Drosophila melanogaster: one gene and its partners. The protein of the gene in region 3 purifies or fractionates together with the protein of the main gene of each other region. This does not show direct contact. Each region holds a gene or a part of one and is shown on either strand. Other genes may lie near its edges. The genes, in order: unc79, na and unc80.

Region 1 (10,921 bases), 8.4 Mb from region 3:
TTGATCTTTCGGTGGGATTGTAATAAACGAAGAAGACCGAAATATTAAAGTCAACAGCACGGCGTCGTCGTTGTGGTTGCCATAGCTGTTGCTGTTGCATGTAGCATGTTGTTGTTGCTTTCGCTTGTGCTGCCGACAACAGCAACAGCAGCAGGGCAAACAAGTTGAATGGCATCCAGAGATGGGCAGGGAAAGGGATTGTGTACTGCCAACAGCAGTTTGATTGTTATTGCCAATGAATGAATGCACTTGCTCCGAGGATTTGTCTGCCAGACGACCAACTTATGAGTTTCCATCTACAACTCCGGTCCAAGAGATGCGGCTCCTGCTCCAGCTTCGTTTGCCCCGAGGGTTGTGGCAACACATTTTGCGGTCTGCAGTTGCAGCTTCTGCTGTTTCTGCCGCTGCTGATGCCATTGTTCCCACTGCCCCACCGCAACACTGCACCACAGTTGGATCCCTGCGCCGCCACCAACTCCCATCCAGCGCGATGGTGTTGCTCCTGCGTAAGCCTGCAGGGGGTGTTTATGCTGTTTGTTGTTTGTTATTTGCCGTTTCGCAACTGTGTGTTGGCAATGAATTGGCTGCAAACAACATTTCCGTTTTGGCCATTATATGGCGCCCACTCTACAAATGGGCGAGCATAATAGCCGGAGGGGGAGGTGGTGCAGTTGGGGTTAGCTCCCCGTCGCCGCTGACATTTTCACACTTTTCAGCGGAGTGGGTGAGCAGCTGTTGGCGGCGGGCAAAAGGATTGCCTTGCATTATCCTTGTTCATTTCCCTTATACTTTTATTACTGATGATTTATTGATGTCCCTTTGTTGTTGGCGGCGTGGGGTTTTTTCATTAACTTTTTATCAAAGATCGGGGGTTGGACATAAATAAATGAAGGACACGAGCAATCACTTCAAGGGTTATGAAAACTGCCAAATTAAAGGGCAAACATATGAAGTATCTACTACCGTTAAACAAGATACATGTATAATGTTTTAAACGTTGTTTTCATTCACCATTCGTTGGTCTTCTTCTGATGCACGGTATTGCACTCTTATAGTAAGTAATTGATGAATTTTAATGGCTTTCAAATTGGTACGATAATGTATATCTGTTTTTCAGAATTTCAACACCTTCGCCAGACAATAGCATGCTGCAAGTGCCGCAGCAATTGTCCATTGTTTCGGGTATCCTGGCCAACCAACCGGCAATACATAACTACATAAATTAACGGACCTCGATTCCAGGACCAGGACCACGGAAAGGGATCGGGCCAGAGACGTAGGGATGGCGCAGTGTCGACAGCAGGAATCGCCACCAGCTCTTCAATTGATTTTGCGAAAGCACTTTGTTGGTGGGCCCCATCTCAGAAACGGAACACTGCAGCACTAACTGGACAGCGGACGGCGGACAACGGACGACGGACTTCGAAGTTCGAACATTTGAGACAATGGGGCAGCAGCAGCAGTAGCATAACAAGGGGTATTGTGTGCACGTATTGAATGAATTGCCTTTGGCTTTCATTTCAGCTCTTTTTTCTGGGGCTGCAGGCTTCAGTCCAGTTTGGCTTTGTCCTGGCCGGGAAACAGTTCGATTGCGGGAGAAAATGAAATCAAAGTCGTATCAATTTGAAACCTGTTTCGATGTCGTTGTTAACACATGTTAACCAAACGTAGCCAAATTGCCAAGGAAAATGCAAAAAAACGTGGCAGCAGAAATCGAAATTGATATTGTTTTTATCTACATGAGTTGTTAAAATTACAATATATATGTAAAGTACCAATCTCAAACTTATAAGGCTGTAAAATCCTTTTTAAACTCACTTAACTGAATTCTACTTTTCATAAAAGGTGACAAGAACTAGTTGACTCTGGATTTTCTGACACTTTGCATCTGGTGTTCAATTCAACAACACCAGTCACATTAATCTTATATTTCGTACAAAACCGAGCCATATTTTATTGTAAATAAAATTCGATAAAATTTCGGTGGACATATTGGACGAAGATGTCCAGTCTGCAAGATATTCCGCTTGCCGACCCCGAGGGCCTGTCTGTGGAAGGTCCCGAGGTGGCCCCCGCTCCAAAGTCCAATTCCTTGAAGCGCTTCTTTAAGATCAGCAAGAAGCCAATGATGCGCGACCAAGTGGAGGATGACGACGAGACATCCTCCCAGGACAACAAGGACCTGGGAAAGTCAAACACTATAAGTCGCTTCTTTACCCGGATGAAGGGAGCCAATAAGGGTAAGCTCTTTTGACTGGTATTAAATATGATTTGTTGAAAAAAAAATGATTGCCTAATGACTTACAATTAAAAGGAGCTCTTCTTGAATAATCATAAACCCCACTTGCCAGATGTTCAAGATCCTTCGAGCTCGGTGGTCGAACCCGTGGAGCAGGATAAGCCGTTGCCGAATGCAAAGCCCACGATTAAGACATCCATTTCATCCTACTGGAAGATACTGTTCAACCGGCAGAAGAGCCAGCGCCAAAACGCAGCTTTAGGGCAGACCAATGCCAATAAAGAGGATAACGAGTCTGAAGAAGTCCATGAACTGCAACCAGTAAGCCAAGATCCCGATACCGATCCTCAGCCGACAGTCAAGGATGAGCACGATGAAATGGAACGTGGCACAGATCCGGAGCCACCCAACCCGAAGCCCAACAAAAGTGTTGCCAGCAAGGCATCCGGTCAGGAGATTGTCAGTGCCTTAGAGGGCGGCCAGCTGTCTACCAATGATCACGAGAATGCGGCTTCCATTTAGCCGTCTTCAACTAACACTAATCAAACCCGATGTCTAGTATCTCTACCGATCTCGAGGCAAAGGTTTAGAAATCAGTTAGGGAGCTGATTCAACCTTACACAATATATACTCTTCAAACACATCCCTGCTAACTGACATACATACAAGAACAAACATTTTCGCTTTGATTCCACAAATGATAATTCCGAGCTCACGAAATAAACACATACAAGACCCCAGTATGTTGTCATGTCATCCTTTGTGGTAAATCCATCCGTTTTTGTTCGTCTAAGGGGTCACAGAGTTCAGTTAAATCGGTTGTTAAAACGTCTTCACTGGGGGGTTTTGATTACCTAAACGAGTTTCATGTTTTGCGTTGCAAACAGTGGGGTTAAAAGGTGCCGCATGAGCCAGACAAGCCCGAGAATTATTTGAGGTTTTCACTTTCGAGGGAAGCCCTAAAGATGAGCCACCCCCAAAAGTTGGCTAACTAAATCACGTAATGAGTATTTAATTGTTGGAAGGTGTGCTATTAAGGAATAAGGGTGCAGAAAGTTTTATTTTAAACTTTATTTCAGTATCAGTATACCAGTGCAAATTTCTTGGCTCAGTTCCAAAGAGGTAGATATAGATATATCTCAAGAATGAGTAGTTTTCTTATCTCGTGTCAGTACTTTGGAAAATCTGAAACACACCAGTTGCATATCAGGATAAACAGCTGGGCGATGTTTACCAACATTGAGCACAATCTGCGCAAACTCCGGACCCGACTGAAAATAGTAAATATTTACATTGGCTAGACCAAAACAAGCACTTGTTGAAAGCCGACCGGTGAGTGCGGCAAATGCGAGATAAACACGCGATATGCGCATGTCCTACTTCCGAACAGCTGTTTCTGGGGGCTGCTGTCGAGGGTGGGTGGTAAAAGTGGGTCAACTTACCCTACAACTTCAATTCCCTCAAATTCCCTTACATTTAAGCCAAAAAATACTAAATCACATAGCCTATTTAATAATTAAATATATTTGAAATATATTCTAGCTTAAACCGCTTGATAAAGTGTATGTATAAGCCTGTATAAAAGCCAAATTGGTAAGGAGGGGGTCAAGGGGCGTCCAACAGATAGCGAAATTCTTGCACAGATACACACCATAAACTCAGTTTAGTTATAGAGATTTTTCTTCGTGGTCGTAGCTTGCTGTAAAACCCGTAAAAAATTGCAAATCTATTGAAAAAACTAACCAATTTCGAGGTAAGTTGACCAAAAATATTAACTTAAGTTCGTTTCGCAACCGGATTGTATGAAAATTCAGAGTTTTCTATGAAATTTCGTGCGCTTGAGCACTTTTTCACTGGCAGCATCTTTCTGGGCGATACATTACGCAATTCTGGGCGTGAAATGTTAAATGTTTTCAAAATGCAATCCTTTTTTGCCTAATTGCAGAATGCGAAGTCCCTCGGCAGCAGTTTCGGCAATGCGAAGGATTTGTCTGATATAATGACTGGCAGCTTTAAGGTGCAACTCATCAACATGGGCACTCGCGCTGCCGCCTGTAAGTTTGTCCACAGAAGTCTCAACTTTCTAGGGTGCTCAAAGGACCTTTTTTTCTGCTTTCAGTTCAGGCAAAACTGAGAGCCCTTCATGAATACCACGTTCGTCTACTGCACAACGTCTTGCCTGCGCCCTCTGGCGTCGATATTGCTAACAATATCAAATACTTTTCTCAAACTCTACTAAGTAAGTATCTATAGAGGTTAGAGTAACCTATGTAATTATCTCAGTCCCAACTCTTGATAGTATTATTACCTATTATTTTGGCCTTGTTAGCATTTTCTAAGCCACCAATTTATTGGAAATATCTTTAAATTTACAGCTGTCCTTAAGGATGTGCGCACTTCGCCGCACGAGCTTATCCGCGATCCTCTTGAAGATCCCACTCGCATGTCTGCCTATCCCAATCTCGAATATGGCAACCTCTACAATGCTCTTACAATGCTCATCGATGTGGCACCTTGCATCCAGTACGGCCAAATCGGTGAGCTTAAGACATCTTAATGCTCATAATATTCTAATTAATTTTATTTTCAGTGTTCGGAAAAGCTCTATTGCAGTGCCTAAGCTGCATCCTTCCCTTTCTGGACAAAGATCTTATCGATAATCTACCCTATCTTGTAAGCTCTACTATATCAGTACTACCACCAGCGTTGCACCAATGCATCATCAATGCTCTATGCTACTATATCTTGCCTTTTACTATAAGTGAGTAGTGACTACTTCCCTAGTTTAAAGAAACTATTTGATAATTTTTAATTTTCAATCTTTAGCTCGTCGCAGCTCCGACGAACAGGAATGTCAGGCCTGCCAATCAGTGTCCTCGGTCATCATGATGGTGCTCCAGTACTCCAACAATCCAGCGCATCATTGCCAGCTCCTGGAGTGCCTGATGACTCTTAAGCACAATGTCGTCAAGGACATCCTCTGCGTTGTGGCATACGGAACCGCTGTTTCCCGCACCTCGGCTGCCAAGCTGCTCTTCTACTACTGGCCAGCCTTTAACGCCAATCTGTTCGATCGCAAAGTCCTACTCTCCAAACTAACCAGTGAGTTTATTTCATATGATTACTCCTATTATCTTACCTCATCCTTCTAATCCCGAATAGATGACCTAGTGCCCTTCACCTGCCAACGGGAGCACTGTCCGAACTCCGGGAATGCGGAGGCAGCAAAGGTGTGCTACGACCACAGCATTAGCATCGCATACGCGCCCGATTGTCCACCGCCCCTTTACCTGTGCATCGAGTGCGCCAACGAGATTCATCGGGAGCACGGAAGCCTGGAGTTCGGCGACATTCTGCATCCCATGCAGCAGGTATCGATGGTGTGCGAAAACAAGAACTGTCGCTCCAACGAGAAGTCCGCCTTCTCCATCTGCTTCTCCACGGAGTGTGCCAGCTTCAATGGCAACCATCCGATCCGCTACTGCAGCCAGTGCCACAGTAATAGGCACAATTCCCGGCGAGGTGGCGATCACGTGGTCCATCGCAGTCTGCAGCCCGCCTGGCAGATGGATCCAGAGATGCAGATGCACATGGTGGAGTCGGTGGTAAGCCTTCTGCGAGAGGCGAAGCCACTAAACTTTGAGCCCGGCAAGGAGTCCTCGTCGTCCGAGTCCAAAAAGAACGGCTCCGGCATCACAGCTGACAATATTTCTCTGGAGGAACGCCAGAGACTGGGACGCTATGGTATCTGGCTACTGGTGGGTCGCTGTACACCCACTGCAGATACTCCCGTAGAAGTTCTGGGCAGGATTCTGAGCATGCTCTTCCACTGGTTTCATGTAACCGCTTACTCATACGATGGTATGTTAAGATGAATTATTTTTACCATCAACCATCAACATTTGTTTTCAGCTGCCGGACAAGTGGAAAGTACCATTGAGAAGCTCAAAGTGGATCACGTTTGCAACTGGCTGAAAGACATCTGCCGCATACACTACAACGTTTTCATATCCTGCCTGCTGCCACATCCCCCGGAGTATGCCCGTGTTGGAGGCCACTGGGAGACCTTGGCGTCGCGAACAAGCCACTTGAAAGAGGGTCTTCAGCGGCTTATATGCCTGGTGCCATATGAGGTTATCACTTCCGAAATTTGGGACTATGTGATGCCGCACTGGATGGAGGCCATCACCAACGACGTGGCCGAGAAGGAACTGAACGAGCTGAAGATTGTGCTCAGCAAGATCCTCGATCCGGAAATGTCGCCTCTGGGCTTTGATGCCAAAACCATGTACAACTTTGTGGCCATTCGATTTGAGAAGACAACGGCAAAGGTGCAGCAGCAGGCACTCCACTGGCTGCAGATCCTCACCAAGCTGGAGATTCTCATTCCACTGGTCCAGTTGTTCGCCATGTTCGGCGATGGTGTTCGCATAATGAAATACGGCATCCAGCACGAGCTGATGCGCGAGAAGGATGCCCAATCTCAGTCCCTGGCCAAGGCTCCCAAGACCCCGTGTAAAGAGAGCAAGGAGACCAAAGCGGATATGGCCAATCCGCCCAGGCGTAGCTCTATTTGTGAATATGCCTTCCACTAACATTTTATCACTAAGTATAATACATTCTTTCAATAGCTCCTGTTGTCGAGGATGACTCTGGTAATACGTCTGCCATTTCGGATGACGAGGCGCCCACGAATCGTCACACGGAATTCTCCACGGATGCTGAGCACAATCTCACCTGTTGCATCCTCATGCTGGACATACTTCTGAAGCAAATGGAACTACAGGACGTGGAGCAGCACATGGGCATCCATACGAGTGTCTGCGAGAACGTCTCCAGGCTGATCAAGTGCATGGTCACTGCAGCTCGAGTGGGTCTCAGTAGTCATGTCTGCGCCTTAAAGGTGAGTAAATCGTGTTTTAACTCAATTAATCCCATAAAATTTAACGAATAAATCAATTTATTAGGTGGCAGAGTGTGCTTACTGCGAGGCATCCATCATGTGGCATCAGCTAGCTACCAAGTTGGTCCAGTTCATGGCCCCATTGAATCCAGTCCGGCCACCAGATGTAAATCGTCGTCTTAACTAGAAGCTTAACCTTCTTATGAGTGATCTTCCAGGTTCCCATCGAGGACATCATTGAGGAAGAAAAGTCCTCGCGCAAATCTCCACCCGAATCCGACAAGGAAAAGACCCGTGATCGAGATGTTTCCCTCTCGATGGCTCCACTACCCATTCCGCTGGGACCTTTAGGAGGATTTGCAGGTACGCTCCAGGCTTTTCAACGCATTTCCCCCTTTACTTCAAGACCCTTAAACGAACCCCCGTTGTATCATAAAGTCTATAAAGTCCCAACAAAGTTTCTTTTCCAAAACCAACCCAAAACCTACCCACTTATAAATAAACTAACCACCGTAACAGTAAAGCAGTGAAACGTCACCAAAAAGTAGCTAAATGTAGACAGTACTTGAGCCTGGTCTATATAAAATATTATACAATTTTTTGGGTGAATGGTATGGAATGGCGACTCGCCCGTCGAGCGTCCCTATAAACAACCTAACTTAGCCTAAAACCCACGTTAAAACGCAAACCGAACTTTGTTTCAACCTACAACTAGAAACCTGCACTGCTATGCCTTGTAAACAACTACCAACTTGACCCAAATAAACAATCCTCAGACTAAATCAAACAATCTCAGCAGTATGAATTAACAGCCATCTAAACGATCATTCGTGAAATTACATTACCGTCATCCCGATCTCATCCGTACATTATCTTTTAAGCCATAACTATTTGTCTATCTTGCTATCTCTCTCTACATAAATATGTATATTTGTTTCTCTCTCTCTATCTCTAACATATTCTACTCCGCGTCTGCCTGTACAAAAATAACATAACTAACGCTATCTCTCTCTCTCTCGCTCGATCGCACCCTCTTCCGCGCGTACGAAACTGTCTGTCTCTCTCACACTCCAAAACTTCTCGTCTATGCCCAAAAATAATCTACAACTAATATCTACTCATGAAATACTACAAAACTAATACCGTACTAAATTTAAAATCTATCAATCATTATCAGATATCTTTAAGCTAGATCAATTCTTTTCAGACGATGGAAAAATTATTATAATGGCAGGTGATGCACCACAAGAAAATTTTTCATTCGTTACAAAAAAAAAAAAAAAAACAAAAATCAAAAATACAAATAACAAATTTACATTACATTATGAAGCATTTGTTGAAACATTTCGTTACTTCACTCAAACAAACCAACCAACAGAAAAAGACAACAATAGTTCCGCTCGATCACTCTAACCAACTTAACTTTGTCTCCACAAACACACGCCACACCACTCTCTCTATCTCTGTTTAGCGTTACTAGAGTATATGATTTAGAATATCCAAGCTTTAATTATATCTAGTTGACCTCCGTAGATTGACCGCCCGCCCCTAGAGAGTTCAGTTCTGTTATGCAACAATCGATCGATCGATATCCTTTCGGTTCGGCTATAGTGTTCCTCCCAAAAATGAAACACAAACTGCGAGTTTTTAATCCAACACCACAGATGCACTGAAGCCACACGAATTTTACACTATCTTTGATTTTCGGTTGGCAGTACGAGTGCCTAGTTTAAATCCTTCCGTTGGTTCTGAATATATTTCAAAACCGGATACGAATAATCCACGCGTAGTACCCGACACGATTGGCAGTAATGTACATCACTTGCTCAAAAAAAAAAAACCCTGCATGAGATTCTTTCATCGATACACTTATTTTCTAACTATCCGAATGACACTTGTAGGATTTCTATACGTATGCATGGTTGATTTGTGAATGCCAAACAGTTGTATGTTGTATGACCACTAAGCGAATTTCATTTTTAGCTGGACTCGCCTTACAATCTGTACCGATCTGATTCTAATCCCCATTTATACTTCTCTTTGAAAAAGGTCCTGTGCCAGTGGCCGTGCCCCAACCAGAACCGCACTCCGTTGGCGGAGTGCTCGTCCACATGCCCCACGTCTGTTCCGTATGTATTTCGATCATAAGCAATGCCAACCGTACACATTATGTTCTTCAGTTGTCACTCCTTAATTGACGACCACCATACTCGAATTTAAAGTTTCTTACACACTACAAACGAAATAAAACAAAAGAAAGAAAGAAAAAAAAAAAAACAAAAGAATAAGAATAAGAAATGTAACTTAAAATATTATGCGTTGATTGTAGGTATTTTGAAACACCCCATATATATACATATATATTTTATATATTTGCTATAAATATTCAAACTAATTAATTACAGCAAGAAAAAGCAATACTAAGTTAAAGTGAGCATTCGAGTTATTTCATTTAATCGACACACATAATCTGTATTCGATTCACTTTTGTTTTCCTTAACACAAATTCCAATTCAACGTTTTACTTTCGAAAATTGAAAATCGATAATTGTCGAACGATTATACAAACGTTTTCATTTCTTCATATATTTTTTATAGAATAACGAAAATGGGCATTCAGTTGATAGTAATGAATTGAGAAAAGTTCACGCCACAGACGAGGTACTTTGTGCATTCTTAAAAAAAAAAAAAAAAAATACCAATCAAAAGACAAACAACTCAACCAACAAAATTTATACAACTTTGTTTCAAATTTAAGTTTTATCATTTGCCCAACTATTAAACATCCATGCGATCCGATAATTGTACAACTCGTTTTTCAATATCTATAGTTTTTTATGTCCAGTCAACAAATCGTACTCTTCGTGTTAAGTGTAAATAAATGTACAGAGTGTTTTTCCCGATATTGGTTAAGTTTTATTTTTGTTTAAAAATTAAACTTTTCGTTCAGAATTTTTTTATTTTTGAATACTGCAGTCCTAGAATATTGCAAGCACTATACAGACATCCTTTTAAAGTTAAACTTAGAGACATTATAGATGACAAATAGGTTCGAGCAATGACGAAACGTAAGCTAAATTAGTGACAATTAATTTGAATTTATTTTAAAGTTTTTAGATATTTATACTGATAAAAATTAAAGATTTGACATTATTCACGAAACCTGAAAAAGTACTTTCTATTAGAGAAAATACTCCAAAATAAGCGTTTTTACTAACTAATAGTTAATAGTTAAGAGCATTGCGATCCGAGTCATAGATTCCTCATTACTTTTTTTTCTTTACTAGTTTTCTAATAATTTTATTCAACTACTGTGTCTCAAAGTATCTTGTATGTGTGTGAAAATAAATTACAAATTATCGTAAATCGACCAAGAAATCGAAAAAACGAGTTATATAAATGTACATTTCTTTAAGTCAATCTCGATTTTACATATCTTATTTAACATGTAAATATTGCGTTCCATGCTAATTTTATTCACCTAACACTTAATTCATTTGTTTTATGGATCATTGTTGAAGAGCATGTTCAATGTACAGCACTTTCACAGTTAATTACCTTCCCCCCACCACCAATCAATAAAAAATGAGATGTAATATTACTATAATCACAGCAATGCACAGAAAATGTATCAAAATTTATGCAATTTTACGTGTGTATGTATCGTTCTTGATGTAAATTATCTTGTTACCTAAACGAATCTTAAGACGGATATGTAAGTGTAAACGAAACGTCAAAACTTCCCGAACATTGCATTTGTCTACATGTGTTGTCAAAGG
Region 2 (10,801 bases), on a different chromosome or scaffold from region 3:
AGCTGGCGAAGATGAACATTAGGAGAATGAGCAGCGTGGATACGAGCAGGATCTCCTTGAAGCCGCGGCACAACTCGTACACCACCTTTCGCATATGGGGCACCAGGGTGAAGATTCGCAGCGGTCGCACGCAGCGCAGGATCATCAGGAGCTGGGCCGCCGAGTTGGTTGGTATATTCAGGGGCATCCAGCACAAGAACGACGTGGACACCACATAGATGAACACATCCAGTGCGGCGGCCACATCCTTGATATAAGCCTTTGGCGTAAAGAAAAGGCCATCGGCCAGAATCTTCAGCGCCAGCTCTAGGCTCATGAAAATAACGAACCCGTACTCGGCGATCTGCAGCGTCGGATGATCCATCACCCGATAATTGGGTGTCTCAAACATCATCGAGATGCAGGAAAGCGTTGTCGCGAATATCATCACCCAGTCCAGATAGGTGACCAGACCGAGAAAGTTGCTGTAAAGGATTAAAGTTTATATGCTTGCAAGCAATGTTTAAATAAGTCAATCCTCCAATTCGGAGATGGGTGCTCCACTTACTGCAGGCTTTTATACTGGACCTTGCGCTCCTTGCCGGTCAGCGGATCCTTGAGTCGGGCATCGTAGCGGGCATGCACGATCTTTTGGCAAATCTTCCGGAAGCGACTCTCGCGCGGCACCAGAAAGAGCGGTGTATCGAAGAATGGATGATTCTCGCGCAGATCCTCCTCCCGTTGATTGCGCCGCATCTCCGCCTGCTGCCGCTTCGCCTGCAGCAACTTGATGTCCAGATCGTGGGGACGTGCACGTCCAGAATTGGCACGTGGCGCGGCAGCAATGTCACCATTCTCCATAAGATGCTCGTACGTTTGCTTCAGCTTGATGGAACCGGAGCGCACGCTGCGACGGATGGAGCGGGAGCCAAACCTGCGAATTGGTAGTGGACACACATCAAACGGGTCGCGCCGCCTCGGTGGGGCAGGGCCCAGCTACTCACTTCTTTTGGTCAACGCGCCACGGTTTCGAGTGTGTGATGGTACCCTGCGACTTCAATCCACCGCCGCCCTTCGTCCCAACCACGGGCAACATGGCCGAATCGCCCAGCATCAGGCGTTGGTTGTTGCTGTCACTACGGGATTAGAGAAATTGATGCCATTAGTTTGCAGGGATCTCATGGATCAGCTAAATATGTCAAATCTTACTTAATGATATGCGTGATGGCCAATTTGCGCAGACTACTCCCGGCGGCCCGGACTTTGGCCGTCTTGTTCATGATCCGGACGGGCTTCTGCTTGCGAAAGACCACATTAGACTCCCAGCACTCGGACATGGGTCGCTTGCAGTTCTCGACCAGCGAGTCCTCCGTCTCAAGCTCGATGACGAAGTGCTTCATAAAGCTCTCGCGCACTTTGGGCAGCATAAAATCATTGGGGATGCGATGCAAAATGGTCATCTGTGGTGAATCGGGAAACTTTTCGAAGATGCGCAGGCGAAAGGGCAGCGTCTCCTTGATTTCGGCGCTCTGTTCTCGGAACTTAAGCTGCTTGAGCTTCTTGATATCCTCGTCCAGTTCCAAATTGTCCAAAATGACCGCCACGAACAGACTGAGCACGATGAGGGTGACGAACAGATGGTATAGTATAAAATAGACGGCCACCAGCGGCGTGAGAGTTTTGCTCGTACGGATCATTGTCTCATCCATCACCTCAACCCAGGCCTCCTGGGTGAGAATCTGAAACATGCTCATGAAGGCTTCGGGGAAGGATTCGAACTTAGTGAAATCGCAGAGGAAGCAAAACAGCTGCATTGAGATGCTCGAGCTGATGATCAGCAGGCACATGGTGAAGATGATCAGTGAGCCGAGTTTCTTGCCCGGTCCGAAAATCTTGTAAACGAATCCCTCCAGCATCGGTGAGGCCTTGATCAGTCGCACCACCCGTAGCACCTGGAAATAGGTCAGCCCGGAGGGATAGAACATCGGTACGATGTGCAACGTAGTTCCGGCGGCCAGGAGCAGTTCGAACTTATGAATGGAATGCTTGTAGTATCCACGCCAGCCCAAGCAATAGATCTTGAAAAGGGTCTCCAGGTCCAGCAGGCAGGTGAAGACCAGCTCGATGTAGTAGTACCGCTCGTAGAACACATCCCTCGGTCGTCCATCGTGCTTGAAGGTCATTGTGGCCGTCACAATGCCATTGGCCAGGATAACGCTCATCACTAGCATGCGAAAGTATGGTGATCTCAGGATCGCATGACACGTTTCCGGCGCCAATCCGCCGTGCTTGTTGTCATCGATGGTCACTAGTCGCCAGCCGGTATCGTTGCCACTCAGGATCTGCGATGCGGCCGTCTTCTGGATGTGACCTCGCGCCCCCCACATCTGTTGGAACTGCACACGGATCTCGTTGAAGGTCTCCGTGATCACCGCTATGAACACGTTCTTCACCAGCCACGCCAGGAAGAAGATCATCGTGCTGAAGTAGAAGGCGGCACGCCATGCCGGCAGTGAATCGATGGCCCGGTACATGATGAACACCCAACCCTCCTGTGAGGCTGCCTGATAAACCGTAAAGATACTAGTCGCAATATCCTCGAAACCATTGAATCCGATCACATAGCTGCTCAGAAAGTCCATTTTCATGCAAACCATGCCCGGCGAGCACTGGTAACCGGAGTCGGGATCCATCGAGCAGAACGTATCCGGAATGGCCAGTGAATTGATGGTCAGAATTCTGAAAATGAATTCTTATTAATTAACTGACCATGTTCTATTGGGATTTAACTGGGTTCTAACATTTCTCATTTGAATTTCTGTTAACTTACGGTCTTTTGTATAGATCGTACTCCGTATTATTCATTACACAATGGTTTTTTAGTTCGCCAAAGAACTGAACTCCTAGCAAACCATATAGGGACATGAAGAACAGGAAGAACAGTGTCACATTGTAAATTTGCTGGCTCGAACGTCTGTAAATCAAAGTTGATGATATAGTATAGCTGATGATGTTGTTAAAGTTTACAAGATACATACTTGAAGATTTGATTAATACGACTTTTTGGCATACTGAATTTAAGGAAGACGCGTAGGAAGCGGATCATGATCAAGGGTCTTGGTGCTCTCATAATGGATAAATAGGAAAACCTATATATTATATATTATATTGTTAGAATCGAATTATTATAACTATGGGGCGTCCACTTACTTTGGTACTATCTCCAGCACTTCGAAGATTTGCAGAATGATCGAAATCCACAGGAAGCTGACCATGGAAGCATCGAATTGGCACCAGTGATCTTTTAAATAAGGCACCTCACCCTGCAAAAGAGTATCGATGAAGTAGATGGCATTTCTCTCAGTGCACCAGACTCACATGCAACACGCCACGGATGTGCATCTTGGCGATCATCTCGGCGGTGAAGAGCAGCGTAACAGCCGTGTCCGATGCAAAGGTGATGAACTGCAGCGACGGATAACGCTCGAAGGTCTTGGGCGTGTTCAGTGATACGGAGGTCAGTGAGACGAGGGCACACAGTCGCATTAGGCGGCGCACCCACAGCTTGTTCACCCACTCGATGTCGGCGCTCTCGTTGAGCGATTCCTCCGGTCCGTAATCCGCGAGGAAAGGTTCGCCGCCCTTGAGGCTCTGCTTCCGGCCCAGCATGATCTTGTTGCCAATTCCGGTGGCAATGCCCAGCCCAATGGGCGGCACTCCGGTGATGGCTGCACTGCCCACGGTGCTGCTAATGCCGCCACATATGCCCATGCCGGCGGCAGCTGCTCCGCCGCCCATGCCACCCATGCCGCCCAGTCCGCCGAGCAGATTGAGACCACCTCCGCCGCCACCAACGACCGGTCCCAGCCCGGCACCATTGTTGTGGCCACCGCCCGAAGATGGAGCCGCCGTCGCCGATGAGCCACCGCCTCCTCCGCCGGCCAACGACTGCTGCTGCTGTTGCGGCTGCATTCCGAAGGCGACGCTGCTGCCGCCGCCGCTGCCGCTACCGGAGTTCACAATGGTCGTCGGACTGTTGAGCGCACTGGCCGCATCCTGGCGAGCGCCCAGTCCCAGTCCGTTGCCAGGACTGCTACCCGGCGATGGATTGAAGCTAAACTGGCTGGCGGACGCCGGCTGCGAGTGTCGCAGGTGTGGATACGAATGCGGATGCCCGTGCGGATGTGGATGCGGATGGTGCGAGTGCGGCGGCGCGTGATGATGCGTATGCTGCTGATGGTGTGCGTAGTGATGCCCGTGATGGGACTGATGGTGTGGATGCTGCTGCTGTTGCTGCTGCTGCGGCGTCAAGCTGTTGCCGCTGGAGGAACTGGTGCTGGCCGTCGCCGGCGTGTTGATGCCGCTCGTGGAATACGGATGCGAATGGTGGTGGTGCTGGTGGTGGCCACCACTGCCGCTGGATCCGCTGGCCGCTGTTGCTGACGCTCCAGTGATCGGTCCTGTTCCCGCCGCTCCAGCCGCTCCCGGTACCGCCCCTGCTCCTCCTCCTCCTCCTCCTCCGCCGGCGCCGCCGCTGCCTACTGCTCCGCCTCCAGCTCCGCCTCCGCCTCCTGCGCGTTTGTTTCTAGCAGCTGCACCCAAGCGACGAATCTGTAGGCGGTCAATCATTCAAGCGGCGCATCCTGACCCTGAAACGGTCGCTAAGTTATGCCTGCTGTGTGGAGAGGGGGCATATTAGTTAGTTACTTGACTAGATCAGTTAGAAGTAAACTTAACCGCCAAACTGCTGTCATATTTCAACATTACTAAGATTATTCTTAAGTTTTGAAGGGTAAATATATTGAATTATAAATTACATGTACAATATATATTATGTTTCATGTTCTCTACGTATTAGTATTTAGCACCTCCATGTTTCCAAGGATGCCCTCCACCAACTAGGCGGCAATTAGAGCCAAGACCTTTGTCAATATTTACATTCGAACAGCTGCCAAGGTGGGCTGAAGGTGCAGCACTCAAACCCACTCACACAGGCACTGAGTGCACTGCGTAAAAAAAATATTTAAAATAGCTCAAAGTGTTATATTATAAAGTAATAAAATATATATGCAAATGAATCAATCAATAGACAGACATTTCAATTCATTAGTTGCATATCCTGTGATATGTAATTTATAATCTTTAGCCTGTTTTACCCAATTTTTCAAATCCACAGGCCAAGTTTATTGATCTGCTTTTGTTTTGAGTGTATCGTTTGCATCAACTTTTTGTATAGGAATTTCAACAAAGATCTTCGAGAGCAACCAAAATTTGTTTCTGTGTGAATCAAGACAGTCAGCTCGGATGGCGGATGGCACTTGCAACCCCCGAATGAGCAACCACTTCTCGCCGTATATGCGTAGATATGTGTACTATACGACCCAGTCCCATCCCCACTGGCGAATCCATTGTCATTACCAAAGGAGCAGTAACCAAAAGCAGCCATGCCCACTCCAATTCAAAGCGAATTCAGTGGGCAAAACTCAAATCAGTACGATTTGTGTAAAGGTATTTTGCCTTTTTTTTTACCTTGTCTCTTTAACTAACACATTATCTACACATAGCCTACTCACTTTTCGCCTGATGGAGCGGCTGCTGGTGGATGGTTAACTTTTGATGGCGAAGATTCGCGCAATTTTTATCACAGAGTCCACATAAATGGATTGCACTGGGGAGACTATTGAAATCTAAGAATATATCCGGTTGCCGCACTTTCCGGTTTTCCAAATCTGTGCGGGAAGGAAAACGCGTTTTTTTTTCTTTCAACACCAAACACGCGCCGAGGTCCTCGTAAAAGAGTCCTTTTTCTTTGTTTTTTTTTTTTTTCTTGTATGTTTTTTTTTCGGACGCGGAGACTTGGAGTTACGGCCACTCAGTCTGTTTAGTCAGGCAGTGCTCCAGTCAGCCAACTGAACTGACAGCTCCACTGGGCCGTCACTTTGAATGGCTCTGGTTCCAAGTCGAGCAACCCCCAAAAATGGACGACGCCTGCGCACTTTCGCGGGTCGATTCGGTTACCAGTGTCGGAGTGGCAACTCCGCGCGGAGTGGCCAACAAGCGACCACGGCGATTTCAACAAATCCGAGCAGCAATCGCATCGAAATGGGTGCCACGGCCTCGTGCAAGAAAACCTCCGGCAGTGGCTATCCGGAGCACGATGATCCCAGCTATCGCAAGTGCCAGGAGCTCAAGGTGAGTCCACCGCTTTATATAATCCCCAAAACCCCGCATGACCAAAGCGACCGCACTCAGATGGAGCGCTGGATCCAGATGCACTACCAGATCAAGCAGCGGGAACAGGCACTGGCCATTGCCCACCATCGGGAGCTCTTCTACTGGCTGAGCGGATTCTACCTGAGTGCTGTGTACGGCTGCGCCAGTTACTACCAGAGGGTCAGGAGGGTATCCGCGCTGGCTCCGCTCCTGCCGCTCACCTTCGTCGTGGGTTACTATACGGACTGGGCGTACGGCAGCAAGATGCATCGCATTCAAGGTGGGTCTGGGATAGGATTGTTTGATTAAGTGCCATTAGAAGGATGATATCTTATACAAACCTATCCGATGATTACATCAATTGTAGCGGAGGCGAACATGATTATGGAACACGAGCAGGAGCTGCTCCACTGGCCAGGTGGTCTGCCCACTGTTGCCGGAATCGATGAGGCCCGCGTGGAGACCGAAATGGAGAAGAAAATGCATCCGCACCACATGTAGAGGCAAAAGGATGCCCCTCTCCCGGTTAGCCTGTAGGTGGGATTGGGTTCTCGTGCTCAGGTCCTCGTTCAAAAACACACACACACTCCACAATCAACAGGATTTGTCCCAGAGTTTCAGAAATTTGTAAGACCCCTTAGCTAGAATTTAATATATATTTTTTTTTTTTTGGCATTAACAGTGCTGTTGAATGCTGAAATGTGGGGACCATTCAATTACACTTCACAACACTCAACAGCATTCTAATTACGTTTCACAGCCCATTAAGCAACATTTTAAAATTTCTTACAACGAATATACATACAAATATCATTCATTACACACATCTAAATCCAATTTATGCGAAAATGTTCAGCATTTTTAAATTGAAATCACACGTTAGATAAAGGCTGCCAGAAAATTTATTTGAAACTAATAGAAATAATTGTAACTAGCAAGAAGGCATCATCATATCATATCCTGTTCCAAAGGAGCACTACTTTCACCAAGTTTAACATTTTTTGCACAGAACCCCAGCCAGCCTACAGCGCCAGATAGCTCAAATATAGGCCTATATATATATATATAAATTTATATTATATATATTTATATTCAGAAGTCCTCCATAATGACCATTTACTTAGCCGCAGTTTACTCGCTCTTTCTAAACTCTATCTATCTGTGTGTGACGCGCTTTACTTTTCCAGCAATTTTTTGAGACAATACTCCTTATATTGGATAGTTAAAATGATTGATATATATATATATATAGTATATATACATACATACACTTATGTACACTTGATAAAAATTGTAGTCTAGAATATCTAATAAATGTTTTGCTCCCAGCTCAAAAGGCCACATCATCGCAGTCGAGCAGTCCGTGCTCAATGAAATTGCGCGACTCCTTTTTGTAGTGGCGATCGCAGAACTCGGCAATCCTGGAGCACGCCTCCTCGATCATTGCCCCGGGCACAGTAAGTACGATCCGCACGTATCCCGGGTACTCAAAGCAGCTGCCCGGCAGACAGAAGACACTCTGCTCATTCACCATCTCCTGGACAAAGTGGGTGTCGTCCTTGAATTCCGGGAAGCGTTCGATGCTCACGCCTATCATCATGTACATGGCTCCATTGGGCATTACGGGATCGAGGCCACGCACCTGTTTCAGCATCTTGTAGGCCAGCATGGCATTCGACTGTGGGATAAAAATAATCATATAATAATTATCCATTAAGCTGATAATTACAAATGATAAACTTACGTGGAGCACATCAATCACGCCGTCAAAATAAGACTGCGGTGTCTTGGTCAGGATATCGGGCAGGGCACCCTGAATGATGGTATTGGAGCCCAGAATGCGACCACACATGTTCTTTAGACCGACAATGGCATCGCGCAAACGATTCTTGCGATCGTGCACTATGATCCAACCCATTCGCCAACCGGGAACCAGGAAGCGTTTGGTCAACCCGCCACAGGAGAGAACTGGAACCTCCGTGGTCAGGCTGCTCACGGCCAAGTGCTTGGAGCCGGGGAACACAAAGTGCTCATAGATCTGCAACGAAAGCAAAGGCAATTCAATTCAATTATTTCATGTGTGCTCGATTTAAGGGTCACTCACCTCATCGGCAATGATGGGCAGATAGTGGCGTTCGCAGATGGCTATCAACTCGCGCAGATGCTTCTCATCGAAGACGCTGCCACAGGGATTGCTCGGATTGTTGATCAAAAGGGCGGCGGTGTTCTCATCGATCAGGCTCTCTAGCTGAACGAGATCGGCGCGCCACTGCTGATCGGGCAGAAGATCGTAGTAGCGCACCTCGATATCCAAGCCCTGGGCCAGCGTATAGTACAAACAGAAACCCGGTCGCGGCACCAGAACATTCTGACCACGATCCGCCAGCGCCAGGATGCAGTACTCCAAGGCGGAGGAGCAGCCGCTGCACAGCACCACCTCGTTGGCATCGATCTCTCCGTCGGGACGCTGGTGGGCACTGTATTTGGCCACCGCTTTGCGGGCTATCTCGTGACCCTGGGTGCTGGCATACCCATTGTACTTGCCGCTCTCCAGGGAATGCAGCACCGCCTTCATTGTCTCATCGGCGGCTTTTAGATTGCCAAAGGTTGTGGGATCACCTGGTTGAGAAAAGCAAGTTTCAAAATGCATTTAAAATATATAATCTATAATATAAAATAACCTTTAAGCTAATAAAATAATACAGAAAATATTCCATCAGTGAATTGCCTAATTTATGGAATAAAGTGCATTTATTTTTGGAAACGGAATGCAAAATGGTGTTAAAAAAATAAAAATCAGGCGACTTCGCATCCGAATCTCTGATTGCATTGGGTCAATGGCTAACTCGTTCGTTTCCGGCTAACTTCGATTCCCGATTCCGATGGCTAAGCAAGCAGCAGCAGTATAATCTGGCTCAGATCCCGAGTTCGATTCCATTCCATTCGATTCGATTCGATTCGAATGGATTCTCGACTTTGTCAAACAGGTGGAACTACATTTTATGCAAATGCCCCACAAAACACAAATACAGTGCGCGTGCCTCGCTACAAAAATAATACGATATTACTAAAAACAAAACAAAAAAAAAACAATTAAATTATATACAAGAACAAGAACAACAACAATCGAAACAACAACAGCTTTACAGATTTTATATATCTGGTATCTGGCATATTTTAGCACAAATTTAGAAACTCGCGACAATCGGCAAAATTAGCTTCTCTGTAAATTTCCTAAGCCAGAAAGCCAGTAAGCCCGAATTCCCATTGAGCTCTAACATTTCAGGGAAGTCCAATGTCCCAACTTATATAACGACTTATAAGCATTATAGCCGAAGCACCGATCTCTGATTGGCCCGATTTTGTGGGTGTGTATGACCAATGGATCGCTTTAGTTCACAATGAAACCGAATTCATTGGGTTCATAAAGCTAGTTTTATCAAGTTTGGGACAACTCAGCTGCCAAAAATAAAAAAAAAACTAAGATATAAATATATATATATATATATTTATAAAACGGCAAGAGCAAAAGAGATCGCACATCAGAAATATTCAAATTTGGCCCAAAAACTTGTAGCAAAAACGTCAGAGGTGTTATGGGGATATGGTGAAATGAGGAGCAGGTTTCCCACGAAACTGGATAGTTAGCACTACCTGCTCAAATATTTTTCTATAATTTGCAAATTTTGGATATTTCAAATCATTGCTTTTAGCCACTATTAAAGGCGTACTTTTCAGATTAATGCATATATAGTAAATAGAAGGCGAAATCCTGATAATGTAAATATACATTATACATACATGCTAAATGCATAGCATACTTCTGAGAATTCTGAAGAGGAAAAGCTTTTAAGATAGATTTTTCAAACACATATGTAAGTTCTGCGTCAAAGGAAATTCAAGAATCAGTAATTTGCAGACAAACTAATAATAATTTATAAGGTTTATATAAAAAGCCCTATAAGTTTTAAGAACTTGAAAGTTTAAGATGTCAACTTTAAATATCTAAAATGAATCTATACAAGAAATATACTAAGTACCATATTTTAAAAGAAAACTGATTATATACGTACAGTTTTTAGAACTTTTACTCTTTAGATATATATTAGTTAATTTATATATTTATGGTGCTCACCAATGGACAGCGGTATCATGGGCTTCTCCGGATTCGGTTTGATCTTTAGCGACTCGACAATGTTCCGAATGCGATTGTGCGTGTTAAGGGATAGCTTGGAGCCCTTTATCTCCCATCCGGAACGCTTTCGGCTGCTGCTGCTCGTGGCTGTGGTGTCCACCAGGTCCTGTTGCTTGCGTATGTCCTGCGATTGGAGCTGCAGCTCGGCCAGCGCCTGATCGACTACATCGCAATTGGGCGTCACCGGCGCCGGGGATTCCGGCTCGCTGGGACTCCGGCTTGTGCAGCTGGCACGATTGCGGCTGCTCTGGTATCGGAACTGACTCTCGTTGGCAAAACTGCTGGGCATTATCACCAGGCCGGCCCTTTTCCCGATTCAACGAAAGAAAATCGAATAGCCAAACCAAACCAAACCAAATCGAATCAAAATAAACAAAAACAAAAAAAAAGCACAAACAAATATTGCTAATATTT
Region 3 (10,744 bases):
CAAAAAACATTAGATGAGTATCGTCCATTGAACGAATACTTACGAGAGTAGGGGATAAATCCTTCATCATCCTCGGGATCCATGCAGTCAGCGAACAGGGTCTCCACCTGCTCGTCATCCAAGCTCTCACCTGTAATGCACACAATGATTTAGAGGGATATCCCAGGATATATGCATGTTGATTACTCACCAAGCGCCAGCAGGGCGTGCTGCAGCTCAGCCAGCAGCATGGTGCCGTTCTCCTCCTTGTCGTAGAGCTTCAAGCACTCAATGAAGTCCTCGTAGCAGCCCTGCTCCTTCTCCTTCTTGACCTGTGAGTAGATGGGCAGGAACTCATCCAGCTTGATCTTCTTCTCGTTGCGCTTCTTGGTGCCGCCCAATTTCTCGATCAGCGCCAAGGTGGGGTTCAAGTTCAGAGCGCGGAGGGCATCACCTAGGTCGACGGCATCAATGCCCTCACCGGGGGAGCCCATGACTTCGAAAACGAATTCGACATCTGCGCAAAAGGAACTCGATTAGCATTTACATCTTCATGTTCATGTTAGTCGATCAAACGTAAATCCCATCAAATTTTTGTTTTTATTCGTTTCATTTTATTATGCTGCCTCATTAATTGTTTTTAAAAATACTTTAGCAGAGGTGGGTGTTGACCACCCTTTTTATTTTCGAAAACGGGGTCGATGTGGTAACCCTGAAATTTCTGGTACGCACATTTTTGGTCATCATGAAAATCTTGACATGGCTGCTGGGCATTGCCTACTTAGTGTGTGAGTGTATGCGTGAGTGCGGATCTGGGAGAGTTGCCAGCCCCGAGAACACACTACGTATACGTAATCCGACACCCGAACCGAACGCCTTCGCCCTCGTCTGCGCTATATACACAGTATATAGGCGTATATACACACACAAAGTCGCATAGTTTGCTCATCTCTTTCGCTGTGCGTTTGATCGAAAATAAATCTAAAGAAATAACTTGGCCAAAATTAGATCTCTAAACGAGAAGCATTTCGGCTCGAAGACGAGGATCGCGCGTTCGGGTTCGCGACATATACACACACGATTTTCATTGTTTTCCGCGGCTTTTCTATAACGCAAATCAAACTTAACTTTGCACTAGATTTTCTCTACCGGAATTGTGTTGGCAACCTTTATCCGTTCTGGTTTTGGATGGTCGATCGATGAAAATAGCTCAGGCGATGCATATAGACGACAGCATTCCTTAATGAAAATTTTCCGCATAGTGTTATATATATAGGCATGCGTATATGTATGCGATATATTCCAAGTGATTACGAAATATGTTCACCGACTTTTGTGTACTTTTTGTTGTGTATCTCACACGCGCACATTATGTAATCTGTATTTTTATGGATATTATAATACTTGTTTTTAGTCCTTTCTGCTGGGTTTTCCGTTACCTCGTTCATTTAATATGTTGGTTTAACTTTGATGGATTTCGTTTGAGGTTAAAGATAATCCTTTTCGTGCGGGGTTTTAACTTACTTTCAACTTCACGCTTTGGAACATCAGCCTGTCAACGGAATCGAAAAAGATTTGAGAGTTTGGCATTAGTTCGAGTGTGGAAAATCTTCAGTTTTCAGCTGCTGCATATATTTATGTACATCTATATCACTGGATATTGGTGGAAGATGTGTGAAGACTCCTTGGCCGACTGGGCACTCACCATTTTGTCTGTTTGATGCGAAAATCAACTGTATCGCGGATGAGCTCGGTCTCGACTGAACGTTATTCGTCAGTGGCAGTACGGCAAGGTAATTCTGAGGTGAAAGCCAACCAGCCGATCGCCGAGCACTCAGACACAGATACAGATACATTTACAGCTATAGCTTCGAAAACGAATTCAAAAACGAATACGAATACGAATGGATGACGAAACGCTCGCTCTTTTCCTGCGCAAGGCTATACACACACCAAAATATATGCTGTAGTATGTGCGATGGCAAGAATTTACTTTCATCTTGGGGGAACTTTTTCGAATGCCACTCTCTTTTGGGATCCCATGGATCCCAACGACCACCAGATATTGGGAGGCTCTCCTATGGAGCCAGAGCCATTTGTTGTCCGCTCTCTAGCCGGGCTATTTTTAAGCATTTTGTTTTTTTTCGGCTATTCTGTGAATATTTCTTTTTATTTCGTTCGTGAAGGCAAAATAATAATCGCTTGTGGCATTCCCAGCCGGATAGTGTTGAATATCATTCGATGTTACAGATGATTTTGCAGATAATATAATATTTTCTCATTCAGGCGGGAGGAGAATGGGTTTGAGAATTGATTGTTTAGCGCTGCGCAATAGATTGAGCTTCCATGCTGGGGTTTTACGGGGTATGTTTAGATGTTTAGATGGGGCTATGGGGCTATGTACTATAAATGTGGCCTATACATGTATATATTTATACACTCATCGACCCTGATCGTCTTTTTGGCAAACGTACGTATTTCTCAGGTCTTGCCTGTTATCATTCGAAATGTTTTGTCAGCCGGTCGTATGTGGGGGTGTTAAATGGCCGATTTCTTGTTTGTCCGCTGCCAGAACACCTGAACACCAGCCTTTTTCAATATTTATACACTATACATGCTCCAAAAGCATACTATTCCTCGTTGGCATCTCATCTACATAGAAGGCGCATTACTGGCCCCTCAGGCGCCTTCTTGTGCCTTGTGTGTGCCGCCTGTACAACATTTTAATGCGTGCTATTTATAAAAACTATGACACAGATACATGAAGCGTATTCAGAGCAAAAATGTACAGCAACAACTAAATGCTCGAATTGTTTGCATAGGCAAATGGTGGGTGGTAGGTATATAATGACCGATCAAGCCTGAAGGGTAAGCGAGGTGCTTAAAAGGCGGCAAATCTGGCAAGGAAGTGGCAATTAAGCCAAGCAGGCCATTGGCTTTGCCGGCACATCCATTTCCATGCACCCATGTCCTTGACTTTCTATGTAAATGTAGATGTACACACGTCCATGTTCGTGCCATCGGACAGGTCCTTCTTTGACCCAGTTTTGAGCCCAGCTGTGTGCCCAACTTCCGGCTGATGCTCATCAGACCCACTCTCTGGGCTGTCCTGTCTCGTCCTATCTCTCAATCCATTGAGTCCTCGGCTCGGCTTTTGGCCGCGCAGCCTCCCTGGCCTTGTTATTGTTTACTCCTTGGGGCACCACCTGTTGTCAAGCGGGTAACTGGTGCATGAGTATTTAGGCCGATTTGGTCCTTGATTGAACATCTGCTATCAGCAGCCGATTGTTGCCACGAATCTGCGCAGATTAATGTGCGCAAGTCATTGATAAATAGCCCCTTGAGACTGAAATTGTGTGCTTGTATTTATAGAACTCATTTCTGTAAACAACATTTACACTAAGGGCTTTTTGTGCTGGTAATCAAGTTATTTAAAATATATCTCAAATGCTTATCTTAAAATAAGATACAGAAAGAACTTGGCAAGAACTTAGCAAGGATAAAGCGTGCTTAATCAGCTAGAAGATTAATTAATGAACAAAGGCTATGGATTTAATTTCCACTCAAGTCCGAAAGGGACAGTGACTTATTTTTGGCCATTACTACTTTAATACTACACTATTTATTCGCAGTCGCAGTCCCAAAGACTCGTAGACAAAGGAGTACTAATGGCCACCCCACGGCGTATACGCAATGCCCATCCTCAGGCATTTGTTATCATTGATAAGTGTGCTTCGCAAACAGGGTGTCCCGATGGGAGAGTGTGTTATGGCATGCCATAACAAGTGCAAGGACACCCCTTACACGGAGAGCAGCCTTTTTTCCCGTCCATTCAGTGCGTATACTTAATACTGAGTGCGGGTGGTTGTACGACTCTCTGCGTTTGTGTGTGTTTCTCGGCAAAATATCCTGTATACGCACTGCTGGCCTGCTGCTGTCGGCATTGGAAACGATGGCAAACGGAGGACGCGGCCGGCTGAGAGGATAACAACGACGGGGAGCTCAGAGCTCGTCAGTTAACGACGCTTGTCTCAGTTGCATCCGAACGCTTCAGCCGTAAACGTTATCCGAAACTGGCAACGCGCAAATCAAGGTAAGCCCTTGCAGAACTAAAAAAAAAAAAAAAAAACTACTCGTTAGACAACAGAAAAAAGGGCAAAAACGGAAAAATACACAAATTGAAATCAAACAAAAAGTGCTTCAGTGTCCCTGTTCGGTCGCCAGCCCATGAAAGGTTCTGCAATTAGTGACGACTGTCCAAGGAGCCCAGCCCAGTTGGTTGAAGTGAAGCCATTTCCACTGGGTGCGGCACCAATCAAGCGAATCGTTGGCCACGTTTGATTTGAGTGTGTGCTAAGTGCCAAACAATTGATCGTTCCACCGGCGATTAATTGCGGAAAAGTGAAATTTTCCACAATCCCAGCTCGAGTTATATAAGTCTGTGAAAATTTTTGCCCCAAATTAGCATGTATACCAGAAACCCAGTTCTGTATCTATAACCCAGTCGCCTCGTTCTCGCCGCTGATGCGGAGTCTGCGTTCTGCGCAGCGTCCCAGGACCGAAATCTTGGTAGGTTTTTTCGGCAGCGGGGGAGTGCCATGATGGCACTGACCTAGTCGCTGGGAAAAACAAATTGGAAATCAACAGGAGCAGCGTGTTGGGCCTGCGCACGCAAACACCTGTTGCACATATGCTAATGCCCCAACCCGTCTTGGTTTTATGAATGGCTCGGCTCAGCCAGCTGTTGCACGCCATTTGATTTGTGTCCTTGTGCCATTCCAGCTGGCCACCATGGTGACCAATGCCGCGGGGACAGCCGCAACGGGAGGAGCAACAAGCAACACGACCAACAACAACAACCTGCAGACGAACAACAACAGCCATGGGGCGAACAACAACAACGATGACTTTGACTTTGACCAGGATAGTGGACTGCAGGACCTCGGCTTGCCGGTGTCCGTGCAAACATTCCTATGGCGGCAAATAGCGCCCTTTATCCGGCCCAAGCTGGGCAAGCTGCACGAGTCTACCTGTCTGGTGAGTTTGGCCAGTGAAATGCCAACAGCATTTAAGTCAATTGCCAAAGATAGAAAACGAAAAGAGCTAAGATGGCCAAGAAGTGAGGAACCATTTTTCCCCCACACAAATGGGTGCTGTATATTCGCTATGCGTGTTTGTTGTAAGGATGGACTGTGTAACATACCGAAACCCAAAACGATTGGCATTCAGATTGGCGCAAGCAATTCGTCGTATTGAAGCCCAGAAATTGTGTTCAATGTCTTCTACTTTTGATTTCACTCTGCCAAAATCATGGAAAATCGGAAGCTAAATTTGAGACCTAACTTTGATGTTTGATGTTTTATATACTTTTATGCATTCGATTTATATTTTTCTTTAACAACTACTAACACGGCCACCTTCCTTCACAAACTGAACAACAGACCTGTCTTCCATTTACACCAGGCTACCAGGAAAAGTTTCATACCGATAAGAACATAGTTTTATTGCCCACCCATAAAAGTATGCTTCACTTTTTGCCTAGCTTAATGTAGGCTTGGAAACTTTTCCTGCGCCTGTGTGTAGTACATTCAGTATGCTTTATACACAACCCAACTAAAATCACAACTACAATGACAAACTGTACAAATTAACATTGTAAAATCTTTCGCAATTTGTCTGAATCTGAATGTAGTTTTGTCAACATGCACCGGGACACCATGTAAGTTATAAATGTTTGTAGTAGCGATAACCCCCTTATTTTTCCAAAGCTTGTTGGCTCAATGTTTAACCAGAATCATATTACGAATATATGTGTAATATTGAGGTTAAAAGCTTAATTTGATTCCCTTTATATTGTATATGTTAAATGTTTTATGTGCCTATGTTTAAGATTGATTTTTTGTCTGAAGACCCCTTTATTTTGCTGTAATCTTGGTAGCTTTAAACCATATCTACTTTAAACGTTTTATTATAAATTAAACAATTTCTTACCATATTCTTACGATGTTCAGGAGTCAAAGGAAGCCTGCAAGGTGAGTGCAAGATTAAATAGGTTTCTAGTCTAATATTGATGAGCTCCGCTTTGTAGTCCTTTGAGAAAGTGCTTGTGCAGAACATCCAGTTCGGCCTGTCACCACCTCTCACGAAGGGCTTGGGTGTGATTCCCCGATGGCGCCTCTTGCAAGGAGCTCTGCCACATGTTATGCACGCCTGTGCCGCTCTGCTCTACAATCGCGTCAAGGATATGCAGGCCATTGGTCCTGTGGAGACCAAGCTGCTATACACCATGCAGTGGATCCTGCTGTACGCCGCCGAGGAATGTGCCGATGATGAAGGCGGCGAGGATCTGGGCTTGGGAGATGCGGCGGAACCAAAGTCGAAGTCCATTGATCAGTACTTGTTTTCAGTACCAACTATTACGGTATGTTAAAACCAAGTTAATATAGACATACCTATTTAATACCACTCCCTTTCAGCTCTTTGTGTACCTATTTGCACCTATTATACACCACCTAAAGGAATCGGATTTCCAAAACTTTCGCCTGGAGAATGGCATTAAGCTCTGGCAGGGAATGTGGGACAATCGAGCACCCGGAGCTCCATGCTTTACAGCTCCCGTTAAGCCCAAGGCTCGAAACTTGCTGTGTGCACCCACTCCGAAAGGTTCCACGGACGTTTTTCCCGCCCGAAAGCACTCACTCAGTGCGGACGCCATGTCACCCAAGGCAGATTCGCCACAGAGCGGTATCTCAGACTATGGAAGGCAGGACGAGGAGGTTTGTTTGCACCCAATCTAAAGAAATTGATTGATTTTTAACTTTGCTTTGATCTAGGGTTCCTGGGTTTCTTCGCCCAAGGAGTTCGCCTTTCCCGAAACCATACCAGAAGAAGCCTCCAGCGTGGAGGATGAACGTGTGGTCATATTTAGGTTACCTTCGGCGCCACAACTAATGGATAACTCATTCTTTACGGTTAGTTCCTAAACTATGTCCGTAAGAAACCACCAAAGTATCTTCTCAATTAGGCCGATGCCAGTCTGTTGCAACAGCAACAATCCCAGAGTCGTCGAGGAAGTCGCCAGTCAATGAACTCCCGGGACAAGGATAAAGTGCCCTCCACCAAGTTCGAGTTCGATCAGCAGGAACTGATGCGAGGTGCATCTATGAAGGAGAAACGGAGTGCATCCATCGAAAAGGAGACGGACTCGGATAAGTCGGAAAGTATCAAGGCGGATGTATCCGCAGCCACTTTCCTGGACGTGGCTGTGCTGCGCTGCCTCTTCATCTCCCATTGGCAGGAGGAGGGCATCTTCTGGAGCCTGCAGTATCTATACAATCGGTAGGATCTTCAAATTACTAACTAAAAAAACGGACCTTATTGCCATTTCTATTTCAGACTCAGTGACATTGGTGAGGAGGCGGCCATCACCTTGAATCAACCTCGCAAGCGCTCGAATTCCTTGCCCATACCGCAAATCGAGATTTCACTGTACCAGGGACCCGGCAGCAATAGTCGGGATAGTCCAGGCAGTTCCGTGGTTAAGGATTACATCGAAATACCCGATCCATCGCCCACGGTGACAGCCTGTGTAGCAGGTGTGTTATAGGCTCTGCCGGTTCCATTACCCATTCTGATTTCAACTTTTATCCAAATCTTTAGAAGAACCTCAAAGTGCGCCAAGCACAACGGAAAGACGCGGCAGTGAGAAGAAGAAACGCGTTAAGATGGCAGATCTTCGGGCTTTCGTGGAAACAAAGATGTTCTCGAAGTCGGAGAAGAATTTGGAAAAAGTAGGGCTCGACACAAACTCAGCCAATGGCAAGACACCACTGCAACATGCAGTAAGCGGAGCAAAAACCTATGTTTAATGTTCTTAAGTGTTTCTGCCTGGCGCCCGCTTATAATCCCCATATAAATGTTACATTCTAAATGGTGTTTGTTTGGCTTGAGAGTTTAATGTTATCTAAATGTAATGCATGTTCATATTGATCGATAGTAATATTGTTCTATCATATCATATAGGAATACCATCGCAGCCTGGACACGGGTGAGAAGAAACTATCTCGGTCAGCCTCGATGATAAGTCGCGAACCAGCCAGTAACTTGATAAAGGGCAAATCTATGCCCAGTCTCAGGTAAATCTAAATCCCCGAGCTAGCCAAAATCCAAAGAATACGACTGACTCTCAATCGGGCCTCTGACACCAGTACCAAGAACACATATGCCATATACACCATATATACCATATACAGGTGACACTTCCAAACGATTCTCGAAATTCCACACTCTTCAGAGACTCATTCTTTGCTTTCGAGCTATATGCTAATGCTATATCTTCTATAACCTATGCCTTGTACTACTTTCTCCGATGAACAACCAGCTGTCTGCTTGATAGCGGGTGAGTTTCGGTCTACCAAGCTAACTGACAAATGATTTGTATTTCGATTTCCAAGAACCACACTCTATGCTTTATGTGCTCTAAGCCCACGATGGTTATCCCCCTTTTCAGCACCTCTTGTATGCTAAACCTTTGGCGCCTGTCCAAGCCTGTTTTTTTCTCACCTTTTACCCCCCCGCTCTTACCTGGCTAAACCCCCCTCCCCCCCCATAACCCATGAATCCACAGCTTGCCGCACGCCGTTTTTTGACTAATGCCACACACACGCTTTCTCGCACGTATCCTACAAAATACAAGATTTTACAGATACGTTGAGCCACCCAAGGCCCCAAGGCCATCGCAGGCCACCTGTCCGCGTTCCACGGCCTTCTATCCCCGGAATCCCATCATTACGGTTACGGAGCACACGCCCACACCTTCGCCCGATTACATGAAGCGTCAGGTGAGCCATTATCATTGTTATGATTACGACTTGGTCTACAAAGTTTGTCCTTCGCAAAATGAGTTCCCACTCAAGATATGATAATGAAGTACGACTAAAAACCGAATAATTTTCCTACAGGGCTCCATCGACTCCCAGCTGGATGCCTTGAGTAATGGCGGCAGTATTGCTGGTATGACTGGAAACGGAGGTGGTAATGGTAGCACTGGCATGGGCAGCTCCACCACCCGTTACCGTGGTCAAATGCTGCGCTCCCACACGGACTCCCACATCGATTACACGGGCGTGGATGAGTCGGAGGCGCCGGGCTCCTCCTTTTATATAACACGCGATGGCGGCATTGACTACGAGATTATCCTGCTGGCCATTAGCAATGTTTTCAAGCGGGATCCGGCACAGGTTTGCTCACTCCGAGTCTTGGAAGCGGGTCTGAACATCTGCGAGTTGCTGATTGAAATGGGTGTGCTCAAACTGGGTGAGCATGCCCACGAGATCTCGATGAGTATTACGAGGAGAGCTCTGCAGGTCTTGGGGTGTCCACACGGATGCAATGATGGTGGGTTGACGATACTGAGCTCTTTATGTACTCCAATCATATATATTGATGATAATTAACTAACTTCTAGGTGTTCGAGGGCCACCTGCTGACTTTCTGCGCAACCAGTGCCAGAAGATCCTGTCGAGAATGTTGCGGCAGGCTGGTCAAAGGACGAAGCGCTTTATGCAGGAGATGGTGAAGACTTCACCGCTGCCGGAACTCATCGACTATTTCCATGCCTTCCTGGCCTTCTGCGTGGATCCCAGCTCCCTGCTGTCGCCACTGAGTAAGTGTTAACTTAGTTGCTGGCCAGATGCTAGACCGCAAATGATGGGCTTGGATGCCAACCATCTGTAGGCGCACCAAATCCCCCATTTAATAATCGATCCAACCAGACTTATGAGTTCCATTGGCCATTTTGAGTTGGGCTTCCCTTTGATTCGACTTTTGATTTGCTCTTCCGACCGGAATCCGCATCCCCCATGCTGTTTGTGGTTCTATTTTCCCATTATGCATGCCAAGAATTTTGCTAATGCTTTTGAGTTGTCCCTCCCGATTCTTTACTGTCACCACCAATACGTTGTATATATATATATATGTATGTATGTATGTATGAAATGATGCAATAGCTCATAAACGTCAGAGTGGATTTAAAAATGCTAACACCGATATTGGCGGCGTACCAGGTCAGGGCGGCTATTCGACCAATTTTAGCGGCGGCATGAGCGGCGGAGCCGAGGCCCAGGTGGTTGGAGCGGTCTTCAAGCCGCTGGTCAGCCGCTTTGTGGAGGCCAGCAAGGATCTGAAGGGTCCGGAGAACATAGCCCTCTACGGTGACATCCGGCAGCTGGTCACCTATGTAAAGGGCGCCCATGGCGGTCCGTTTCGGCTGGTCGCCCTCAGTGGCATCCTGGCCGTCACTCCGAGGCCACACAAAAAGGGTCCTTCGGCGCAGACCACTCGTGTTATCAGGTGAGTAACCGAAATCATATAGCAGGAGGATTATTGATCCAAATCCCATATTGCAGACACATTCCGCAGGCCAATGCAAATCAGAGTCTGCAAAACGACGACAACCGTTCCCAGCGACGTCTTCTCCTGAAGAAACGCAGCACTTCGTCCGCCTGCGCCGTGGTGAGCAGCATCCTTAAATCTCAATCTGAAGCTCATTCCCGCCTCCTATATTTCAGAGCCTGCTGGAGACGGAGGCTTGCGAGGAGCACTACAAGACCAGCCAGTCGCCACTGAGCAACTTCCGTCGGAGGACCACTGGGGTGCGACCCACGTTGACTCCGCGGCACAGCGAACGCGCCTTGTTATCCGACTCCACGTCCAGCTCGGAACGCAATTCGCTGGGACGGCTCAGCGGCTTGGTGCGCTGGTTCCG

The links.
Region 1: the proteins of unc80 (region 3) and unc79 purify together in Drosophila melanogaster (affinity purification with western blotting, with the first as the bait; one study listed by BioGRID). This does not show direct contact.
Region 2: the proteins of unc80 (region 3) and na purify together in Drosophila melanogaster (affinity purification with western blotting, with the first as the bait; one study listed by BioGRID). This does not show direct contact.

The regions. Positions count from the first base shown.
Region 1 is NT_033777.3:19,239,109-19,250,029, reverse strand, and holds the start of unc79 (uncoordinated 79), read left to right. Parts: upstream 1-3,899; 5' UTR 3,900-3,992; intron 3,993-4,184; 5' UTR 4,185-4,238; coding exon 4,239-4,293; intron 4,294-4,358; coding exon 4,359-4,478; intron 4,479-4,614; coding exon 4,615-4,776; intron 4,777-4,829; coding exon 4,830-5,000; intron 5,001-5,065; coding exon 5,066-5,341; intron 5,342-5,401; coding exon 5,402-6,100; intron 6,101-6,151; coding exon 6,152-6,814; intron 6,815-6,870; coding exon 6,871-7,142; intron 7,143-7,206; coding exon 7,207-7,308; intron 7,309-7,360; coding exon 7,361-7,505; coding exon of another isoform or gene 7,506-7,672; exon of another isoform or gene 7,673-8,319; coding exon 8,320-8,376; exon of another isoform or gene 8,377-8,410; intron 8,411-9,191; coding exon 9,192-9,271; intron 9,272-9,740; coding exon 9,741-9,803; intron 9,804-10,921. Other genes in the region: CG5217 (uncharacterized protein), read left to right, coding at 2,003-2,240, 2,352-2,761.
Region 2 is NC_004354.4:14,261,460-14,272,260, reverse strand, and holds the start of na (narrow abdomen), read right to left. Parts: upstream 5,895-10,801; 5' UTR 5,553-5,894; intron 4,655-5,552; 5' UTR 4,609-4,654; coding exon 3,358-4,608; intron 3,303-3,357; coding exon 3,190-3,302; intron 3,129-3,189; coding exon 3,018-3,128; intron 2,954-3,017; coding exon 2,810-2,953; intron 2,719-2,809; coding exon 1,189-2,718; intron 1,116-1,188; coding exon 984-1,115; intron 914-983; coding exon 548-913; intron 465-547; coding exon 1-464. Other genes in the region: CG13404 (uncharacterized protein), read left to right, coding at 6,082-6,171, 6,232-6,472, 6,560-6,693; Tat (tyrosine aminotransferase), read right to left, coding at 7,523-7,870, 7,937-8,230, 8,297-8,811, 10,328-10,676.
Region 3 is NT_033777.3:27,658,426-27,669,169, forward strand, and holds the start of unc80 (uncoordinated 80), read left to right. Parts: upstream 1-4,013; 5' UTR 4,014-4,072; intron 4,073-4,761; 5' UTR 4,762-4,770; coding exon 4,771-5,016; intron 5,017-5,671; coding exon 5,672-5,698; intron 5,699-5,990; coding exon 5,991-6,011; intron 6,012-6,067; coding exon 6,068-6,400; intron 6,401-6,455; coding exon 6,456-6,755; intron 6,756-6,812; coding exon 6,813-6,950; intron 6,951-7,003; coding exon 7,004-7,317; intron 7,318-7,374; coding exon 7,375-7,574; intron 7,575-7,638; coding exon 7,639-7,820; intron 7,821-8,001; coding exon 8,002-8,114; intron 8,115-8,359; coding exon 8,360-8,377; intron 8,378-8,674; coding exon 8,675-8,819; intron 8,820-8,939; coding exon 8,940-9,375; intron 9,376-9,445; coding exon 9,446-9,643; intron 9,644-9,986; coding exon 9,987-10,329; intron 10,330-10,385; coding exon 10,386-10,491; intron 10,492-10,547; coding exon 10,548-10,744. Other genes in the region: Mlc1 (myosin alkali light chain 1), read right to left, coding at 44-130, 191-496, 1,504-1,531, 1,685-1,687. UniProt on the Drosophila melanogaster protein: Component of the na (narrow abdomen) sodium channel complex. In the circadian clock neurons it functions with na and unc79 to promote circadian rhythmicity.